Linked DNA regions of Arabidopsis thaliana. The protein of the gene in region 2 interacts with the protein of the main gene of each other region in a biochemical or structural test. Each region holds a gene or a part of one and is shown on either strand. Other genes may lie near its edges. The genes, in order: ACBP2 and FP6.

Region 1 (5,134 bases), 4.2 Mb from region 2:
GCTTCACCGTGACCCTTCTCGTTTTTCTCTGTTTCCATATTATCATTGTTTTTTCTTATTTGCATAATGAAGAAGAAAAATCTCGAAGGATCAAAGACAAGTTAATATATTACCAATGTCTTGTTTAGAGAATTGAGGCAAGTACTCTTCGAAAGTTATGACACCGTCCTTGTCCTTATCTTGTAGCTCAAGCTCTTTGGCGGTTCTGTAAACCATGTTGTCTTCTGTCTGTTGCATCATCCATGTCTGAAGCTCTTTCAAGCTCACAAAGCCATCTCTTGGAGACGCGTCAAGCAGAGGAAACAAGAACTTGATCCTCATTGTCGTGTTAAGCCTTCTCTCTTGTGCAAAATACTCCTCAAACATATCATCTTTCTCCTCTTTCGCAGCCTCCACGGTCTTCGTACCAGCTTCTTTCTCATGAGACAACCTCTCAATCCGGGTCACCAAAGGGTCAAACACCGGCATTTCAAGCCTCCGTCCGATGCGGCGGGTTATGAGACCCTCAATGGATTGAGTCTGGTTTTGTTTCTTATGAGCGAGGAGGATGAGGAAGATGATGGTGGCGGTTAGTATCGTGTAAACCACCACCTTGGCCATTTTCCGGTAGTCCAAGGTGGGGTAGGGAGAGAAGACGAAAGGGCCACGAAGATTGCTAATTCTGTTTTTGTATTTGCTTTATTGGGGGCTTTCCTTAAATCATTAAATTATGTTCTATCAACCGTTTTTGCCGCCAAAGTCGGTTATTTATTCGTTGAGGATCCAATGACTCTTCCTCTGTCTATATGTGTGTATTTATAGCAAACCAACAAAACCGGTTACGACATATCATAAAGCCTAAAGGAACAAAAGATTGTTAAAATGTAAGAAGAAAGAAATCAAAGAACAAGACTTGGTAACATCCAAGTGATATAGTGTTGGAACATCCCAGTGATGTGGTAGGGATGGAAAGAAAGTTTAAAGTAAAGAAAAGCTTCTTACTAAGTCATTTGATCATATACATTGCGGATTTAGAGAAGACGTGGTTAGTATTTGTTTAGTCTGCCTGCTTTGCAGAATCTCGGATCCAGGGCCAGTCTGATTCACAGAGATCAAGGGGAGAGTTTCCATCCTCATCTTTAGCGGCTGTGTTTGCGTTCTGTTTAACCAGAAACTCGGCGATAGCTTCTCTGTCGCATACAACAGCATAATGCAAAGGGGTTTGGCCTTCGTTGTCCTGTTCAACACAAGAACCAAAAACACATAAATAAAGAAGTTGCTAACTTTGCAGATAATGACTGGGTAGGAATTTCTCTTTCGTCACCTTAGCATTCACATCGGCGTTCTTATCGACCAGAACTTTGGCGATGTTGAGGTGGCCACGGTCTATAGCCCAGTGCAATGGTGTGCGACCTTCACTGTCTGCAGTTTATGGGAAAATTAGAATGCAGATCCAACATCACGAGAATGAACTTCCAAGAAACGGAATATACAAGCAGAGACTAACCCCTTGCATTTACAGGAATGCCGCTTTCAATGCTTTTCAGTAAATTCTCGACTTCTCCTTCTCTAGCAAATCCGTGTATGGCATCAATCTTCCTGAGAGATAAAACAAAAGTTCAATGAGCAGAGGATTAGTGTTTCATTCAGATAGACAGGAAGAAACGAACAGCTCAAAGTTCCATGAGACAATTGTAGCCATTTCACCATCAAAATTTGCTACAGCTAGAACGAGACAGTAATGTTACATATTCACCGAGTTTATGAGCCTCTTTCACAAATCAGGATACTTATATCTAATCTAGACATGAACGCAAGGATCAGGATATAAAACACATGAGAATACAAGAAGAGAACCTTACAACTCATTTTCGGACTCCTCATCATAAACCAAAGAGCTAAAAACTGGTCCCATGGTTCCTCTTGAGTTGGAGGCTGCATCATCCCCACCCCGACTTCCGGCTTTCTGTTAGTGAAGCTCACATGAACAGGCCAGAGGAAGAAACCGAAGCAATCAAACAAAGAAAAGGGGAAAAAGCTTTATACCACGCCACCGTCTAACCAAGTTGGGTAAAGCTGAGTGACAATCTCAATATACTTCTCCATCGCCTCTTCAGGTGGCATAGCTCCCAGTTTCTGCCATGCTTGCCTGAGATAGAACAAGATCATGGCACATCCCAATCAATGAAATTGCAATCTTACAACAAACCACAATTCCATATACAATCAACTGTTACAACAGTAAAAACCACATCATCGTCCAGCAGTTGCATAAGCTAAGAAGCAAACTAGGTGATTGTCTATGAAGAACCTAAAACCTCAAAAATTTCCACCTCAAATCAAATCTCAAACAGTTGAACAAAAACACCAGAAAATGATACATAGAAGTTAATGGCACAGCAGATTCAACGAAAGAGAGAGATACCACTTGGCACGAGCAGTCATTTTGAGAGCTGATGGCTGAGGAGCAGTACACGGCCCTTCCGTAGCAATCTTATACAATCCGTAAAGCTGCTGCTGCACATCACTCGGTACCTTCTGCGAAAGCCGATCTGCGGCGGCGGTAGTCACAAAAAGAGTGGCGGCGCTAAAAGCCTCATCGAGTTCCGTGCTCTCGACGCCTTCCCAATCATCATCTTCCTCACTGTCGTCACCGGCAACGCTATCACTTCGGGAGCTACCCTGCTCCGCCACAAGCGAATCCGCCTCACCACCGAAACCACCGCAAGAGGAATCGAGACGTCGCGAGTCAACTCCTTCCGGTTTAATTTCCAATTGAGACTCCTCTGGGTGACGAGTAAGAGAGAGATTGTCTTCTTTAAACGTGACGACGATCGAGATCAGCTTAGCGAGAAGGTAAGAGAAAATCAAACCTAGGATCACAGACTGAGCAAGTTGAGCCCAATCACCCATTATTTCTAAAAACGAAATCAAATTCTCAAAAACGAAAAACCAACGCCGATAATTAAAACCCTAGAGAAATTTCAACACAGAGTCTCACGAGGAGGATGAAGAAGAAGAAGGAAGCCAAGGGATCTGGAGAGACAAAAAGGAACAAACTTGTGTTGTTTTCCACCGATTCAGTCACCAAACAAAAAGAGAAGTTCCTTTTCGTTGTGGGCGTTAAGACTTTTTAATGAATTGGATCAAAGTTTAAAAGACGACACATAAAAAAACTTGGCGACGAGTGACGACAGATCACATATGGGTCTAATTGGGGAAGAAGTCGACGTGTTGTACCCTAATCTTTTTTGCTCCTTTTACCAACAAAATTAAATAAATATTTCACAATAACACGTAAAAAAGTTAATGAATTCAATAACAATGTCAAATTTTGTGGTGGAATCGTGGTCGAAAACAAATCTAGAAGACGTGCATGGTGTTGGGATGATTAAAGGCTTGACTCATACGACACGTAAATTGACATGTATCCATAAGAGAAAATAAGGTAGACCACAAACTTGAAGGCATTAGATTCACGTGAAGTGGGCACGAAAATGAAATCCCAACTTTTTTTCTTATAACAAAAGATAAAACTCATACATGATATTAAATAGTCCCACTTCCAAACATTGCTTGCTCAAATGAGCATCTCATGAAGAGAAAACCCAACCCACCCATACGAGTGAGTGAATCATTTTTACATGGAATACTCATTTAAGCAAGAAACATTAGAAAGTGGAAAGGAGAGTTTATCACTTTTGTGACTTTGTCACCATGAGAGTAAGAGAGATGATGACTCTAATTGATATATATCCCTATAACTATATATGAGCAACGTGACTCCACAAACAATAAAGAAAATTACGAAAATACCCTAAACTCAAACAAGAAACTACCCACCAACCCAGGCTACCATACTCTACTACTGAACATCTTAATAACTCCAAGACACACTAACCAAATACTTGAACAAGACTTGTAAGTAAAAGCAATGGAATGGTAGCTAAAGCTTGACTTTTATCCAACAATCAAACATTCTCAAGCAAACTACATGCCTGGGGGATTCATTCCCCACTGTATCGTGTAGATTAATACAAGGAAACAAAAAAAAAAGATATTTTCTCAATTACCTACCCTTTGATCTGTAATGGGTCACTTAACCTGTGGTAATTTTGAAAGACTATTCGTGTTGTGCTCCATACCGGCATTGGATATTTTCCCCTTCTATGAGCTTCTCAACTGCATCGAGAGGAAGACCCACCAGCTCTAACGTCTTTTTCCACACTCTCTGTGCAGTTTCTGTGTTGTGTGCTTCTTCGGAAGGATTTGCAGGGCGGCAATCTTGAGAGATGAATGGGCAAACAGGCCAATCATCGTTTTTTAGTGTTTCCCAGTACTCTGGAATCTGAGGATCTGTGGCCGAGAATAGAGAACTTCTACAACCTTCTTGGGGTGAAAATATGAAATAAGGTATCACTGCGTAAAGAGCTTGAAGAATCCTGGATAGATCCCTGGCCTGTAAATTTCGGAAAGAAATAGGCAGTTCAACGCAATGAATTTCTGAGAAAACAGAGGAATCCTGCACTTGTAACGAAATGAAGTGAAGCTAATACTCACAACATTTGTTAGGACAACACCAGGGGATAGACATACGACGCTGACTCCTGTTTCCAGAGGAAGCTTTTTGAAAAGAATGCTACTAAACATAATCTGGAAGATGGAAGATCAGAGAGCGAGACTTAACTCACCAGTTTCTGAAAATAAGCCTCTTTCAGAAAATGGAAACTACGGCAGATGAAAACTACGGCAGATGTCATTACTGTAAGCTCACCTGGGCAAGCTTGCTGCTTGAGTATCCTATAAGGCTTGAGTACTTACGTCTACCAGAAACAACATTCATGTCATCCGGGTCAACAAAACCGACACTATGCATCTACAAAAGTGAATCCCACAACCCATTATCTTGCATGAAAAAGTAATAATCAAAGACAATAAATATAAACTGTTTCAGTTTTCATAAACAGCCAGGCACAGAATTCTTCTGAAATGAGTAATGACATAGTGCAGTCATGGAAGCGTATTTGGGGTTGAAACTTTCAACAAGCTATGGTTGTATCGTTTCTCTATACCAAGACTGTGTTAATACAATATGCATATGTAGTTCAGTGATTTAGAGAGATCTATATCAGTTATCTACATATTCTGCAACCAA
Region 2 (4,448 bases):
AGAACAATACATCTAAGAAGTTGAATGAAGATTTTATGTAGCAACAAAGAGTACCTGTACATTTGCAGCCAGTGACTAGCGATATCTAAAGCCAGCAATGACAGGAAAACCAAGCTAGGCCTGTTTGTAATTGTGAAAGTCCAAGACTACATGTTAAACAAAGATTACGTAGAAAACCAGATAAGTCCATGAAACGGAGATGTCAGTGTAAAGAAGTAGAGAACACTGACACCTGTATATCTGGGAGAGAATCACGAGAAGACAGGCTGTGCTGACTCTGTAACCATGCGCAGACCCCAAAATATATGACAAAAATGTTAAATGAGATTAAAAGAATGAGCAAGTTGAAACTCGGGAATATGTAGCGGAAGATTCACCTATCTGTAACCATATCCAAAACAGCTCCAAATGTAGAGACTGAAAGGAAAAGAGTTGTGTGTTACGTTCAATCGTTTCTGATAATGTAGAACAAGAATAAACTGTGTATGGGACTAAAAATATTGATCAATGAGACAATGACATGAAATGTCATATTTAATCAATGTCAGGATCATAGAGGAAGCATAAGTAATGAGTTAGTTGAAGCTAAGAAAAGAGATGGGGAGAATGAAAAGAGCACCTTGGTTAAATTTACGAGCGCACCATCCATCCACAGCATCACAACAAAAACTGGAAACAAGATTGGGTAAAGAGTGACTAACATATGAAAGAAGAAGCACCAAACACACAAGATCAAAAAAGGAGAAGAACATGATGTTGGTACCACAAGGATAAAGTCACCTGAAAAAGTACAAGAGGGAGAAGAGTGTCTTGTTGGAGAAGCACACAGAGAAGGCAATGCAGTTCAAGAGAACTCTCATGTACCCTGCCAATTTTGCATGTAACAACACTAATCTCATATGGTTTAAAAAAAATGAAATTTTTAAAGACAGAAGAAAGGAAGTAGCAAAAAACCGACCAACGATATTGGGAATGTAGAGGTAGACTGACAACGTCGCCGGTCTCTGTTTAGCCATAACAGAGAGAGAGAGACTTCAGTTTGGGCAATCTGTTCCCCAACGAAGAAAACAAGGATCTCGCCAATGAAGGGATACCTACACGAGATTAGAAAGAAAAAAGGAACAAACTTTGTGGGAAAATGCGTACGGACAGAGGAACCCCAAATCCGGTAAATACGTGAACACACACACACAAACAAAGTAGGTCAATCGATTTTCAGACGCAACTGGAAATATCAAATCTCAAAGTAAGTATGGGGAAATTAAATATTTCTCACCTGCCTAAGAGAAATTGGGAACGAAGGGATCCGCAGGATGAGCCTGCAGACTTTGTTGGAAGCTCTCACAAGAATCAGATTCGCCTCTCTCTCAAGCAAAAACGTTTTTTCGTTTAATATTCTCAAATTCAATTTGTGAAATACAGTACTAACATTTGTTAAATTATTTGTAAAACTTTTCTCGGTTTCGCCGCTTCAACACTGAAAATTTGCATATTTTATTTGCAAACAATACATACACGCATATATCGTTAATTTTCTTCTTCTTCCACGCACACTTTATTTACTGCTGAATTCGGATTGTGTCATTAGTCATTACTCACTCATTACTAATTTCCACAAACCTTTGTATCTTCATCGCTTAAGACTATAATTGATGATGGGATTTTCGGATATATGAACTTGAATCCCATGGGGGTCCAGATATCCAGATGGTTCTACTTGCAAGTCTTGCAAATCTAAATGGAATTAAAACTCGGTTGATTTTTGTCAAAAAATCGCCAAAAATATAAAATGGTAAGTAAGTGGGCCTCAGAAAAATCCATTAGAAAGCCTAGACCAAATTTTGGAGTGGGCTTCATAAAATAAACAAATCTGGTCATCAAGGTCGGTACGTCGGTGTGACTTTGCGAGTCATCATCGATTATCCAAAAACAATAACTCCTCTCTTTACTTTCTTCCCATGCACCAAGAATATATTTTTTTTATTATTATTTATTAAACAAAAAAAAAAGTAAAGCAGCAGAAAATCTAACGCACGACTCTTGTCCCAAGATCAGTCTCAGTCATCATCAAAACAGAAAATTTTATTATCCATTGTAATTTTATTTTTTTCTTACAAATTACAACTCTTTTTTTTTTCATTCATGGAATTGGAATGAAGAAATGTTTTAAGCCAATCCAAAAAAGAAACCGAAAAAAAAAAACTAGAAATTAGGAAACCGTTAGCAAGAAGAGAAGAATCGAGACGGCGACTAGGAAACTGCTGGGACCAGAAAAGAAAGGTGACCCATCCATCATTCACTTAATTAGATACATACTGTATTACTTATTACAATAATGCCTATATATATTCTCCCAATTCATCATTTACTTCTTTACACCTCCACTTTCCCTTTTGCCCCTCTTTTTTACAGATTTCACTCTCTGCTCTACTACTCTCTCCTCCTCCTCCTCCTAAAGAAAGTTCTTAACTCTCCTGGGTTCTTCAGGTTTTTCCTTTTCTGGAATAAAAAGAAGAAGAAATGGGTGTTCTTGATCATGTCTCTGAAATGTTTGACTGCTCTCATGGTCACAAGATTAAAAAGCGCAAACAGTTGCAGGTACTTTCCCTCTTCCTTTTCTTATCTTAGCAGATTCAGCTGATAACTTAGATCTTGGTTTGCAAAAAAACAAACATAATAATTCGTTGAAAAGTTATGATGAATGAGTCTAGTAGAAACTAGCTTCGATGGTTACTAGGAAAGTTTGAGTGTTACTTAGTAGATCTCGTATATTATAGTTCCATAAATAGACTGCCATTAGCAAGTTTATTATTGTGGTTTTGGCTGGCTAATTTGTGTTACCTTTCTTACTTCAGATCTTTTTTAATATCTCTGTGTTTTTTTATCTGAAGAAGTATATCCAAATTGTTACATGATATAAGTGGGATTTTATTTGAAGCAGTTTTTGTTTTGAGTTAATGTTCCTTCCTAACGCCGACCGAATAGATTCTTTTAATCTGAAATATAAGTTGATACAGCCATCTGTTAGATTTTACACCGGGATTTGTATTCTTCTCGCTGTCAGGAATACTATATAAAATCATTAATTTCCGGGGAAACCAACCACGTTAATTTTTCTCACTAGTCATGATGATATGGTTAAAGTCTTTCAATTGTGGACATTTACTATTCTTCTTAGATATTTTTAAAGTAGGCTAATTTTGTCGTTTTGTGTCGACTGCTTGATGAGGATAGACGGTGGAGATTAAAGTGAAAATGGACTGCGAAGGTTGCGAGCGGAAAGTGCGGCGTTCTGTCGAAGGCATGAAGGGTGTGTCTTCTGTGACGTTGGAGCCCAAAGCCCATAAAGTCACTGTAGTCGGCTACGTCGATCCCAACAAGGTGGTGGCTCGAATGTCTCACAGGACCGGCAAGAAAGTCGAGCTCTGGCCATATGTGCCCTACGACGTGGTCGCTCATCCTTACGCTGCCGGTGTCTACGACAAGAAGGCACCCTCCGGTTATGTCCGAAGAGTCGACGACCCCGGAGTGTCGCAGCTGGCTCGTGCTAGCTCCACCGAGGTCCGCTACACCACTGCATTTAGCGACGAGAACCCGGCGGCTTGTGTGGTCATGTGATGTCATATGGACTACTACTGTTTCAATTTGTTATGGCTTAATTTAATGTCTTGTTTTGTACATTAATACCATAACGGTAGGTTTCTTGTTTTGGTTTTAGTTCCTTGGTCTGTATTCCTTACACTTTATGATTGCAATATGTGTTTTTCCCTTTCTTCCAAAGACTTTTAATGTTAATAAATATTTCTACCCAAAATTAAATTATTTTCATTTATGGTTTGTAATTGTGAAGAAAGCTTCAAATGCGGATCAAGTTGTAGTTAAGAAAACCATTAAATTAAAATAGAGAGAGTAGTTGAAACAAGGGTTCCGAGCTTCCCTCTTTAACCTAGGACATCCTTAAAACAAGGGAACAATATAATACAAGTTGTAACATTTATGTATCAAAGTGTTTATCGATGAGCAAATCAAGTAGAATTAGGATGAAGTCGAGAACACGATACTTGATAGCGATTCTACTTGTAATTTCGCTCTGTTCCAAGGCAAGCAGCCATGATGATGAGAAAAAGAAGAAAGGAGTAACATACGACGGTTCTGAGCGGAACTTCATTGATCATAAATGGAAAAAGAGAGCTTCTTTTCTCTGGTTCTGTTCATTACCCTCGAAGCACACCTCACGTAAGCACGTCTACTCTGTTTTTATTATTACCCAATCAAAAAGATGATTTCACTTCATGGATCGGATTCTGGTTTTGTTGCAGATGTGGCCCAGTATCATTGACAAAGCTAGAATTGGGGGACTTAACACCATCCAAACTTATGTTTTCTGGAATGTCCATGAGCCTGAACAAGGCAAGGTATCATCGACTTCAATTCTCTCTTAAGATCAT

What was found.
Region 1: the proteins of FP6 (region 2) and ACBP2 form a complex in vitro, tested with the Arabidopsis thaliana proteins (one study listed by BioGRID).

What each region holds. Positions count from the first base shown.
Region 1 is NC_003075.7:13,845,532-13,850,665, reverse strand, and holds ACBP2 (acyl-CoA binding protein 2), read right to left. Parts: upstream 3,118-5,134; 5' UTR 2,893-3,117; coding exon 2,405-2,892; intron 2,129-2,404; coding exon 2,026-2,128; intron 1,946-2,025; coding exon 1,842-1,945; intron 1,579-1,841; coding exon 1,487-1,578; coding exon of another isoform or gene 1,482-1,486; exon of another isoform or gene 1,402-1,481; coding exon 1,304-1,401; intron 1,217-1,303; coding exon 1,037-1,216; 3' UTR 732-1,036; downstream 1-731. Other genes in the region: AT4G27790 (Calcium-binding EF hand family protein), read right to left, coding at 1-28, 114-600; FEY (NAD(P)-binding Rossmann-fold superfamily protein), read right to left, coding at 4,103-4,438, 4,540-4,632, 4,754-4,855. UniProt on the Arabidopsis thaliana protein: Binds medium- and long-chain acyl-CoA esters with very high affinity. Can interact in vitro with palmitoyl-CoA, but not with oleoyl-CoA. Binds to lead ions (Pb). May function as an intracellular carrier of acyl-CoA esters.
Region 2 is NC_003075.7:18,032,076-18,036,523, forward strand, and holds FP6 (farnesylated protein 6), read left to right. Parts: upstream 1-2,055; 5' UTR 2,056-2,280; intron 2,281-2,287; exon of another isoform or gene 2,288-2,412; 5' UTR 2,413-2,520; coding exon 2,521-2,598; intron 2,599-3,234; coding exon 3,235-3,618; 3' UTR 3,619-3,814; downstream 3,815-4,448. Other genes in the region: PIS2 (Putative CDP-diacylglycerol-inositol 3-phosphatidyltransferase 2), read right to left, coding at 55-120, 233-277, 378-417, 620-669, 781-865, 959-1,016; BGAL14 (beta-galactosidase 14), read left to right, coding at 4,041-4,244, 4,320-4,415. UniProt on the Arabidopsis thaliana protein: Heavy-metal-binding protein. Binds lead, cadmium and copper. May be involved in heavy-metal transport. May be involved in cadmium transport and play a role in cadmium detoxification.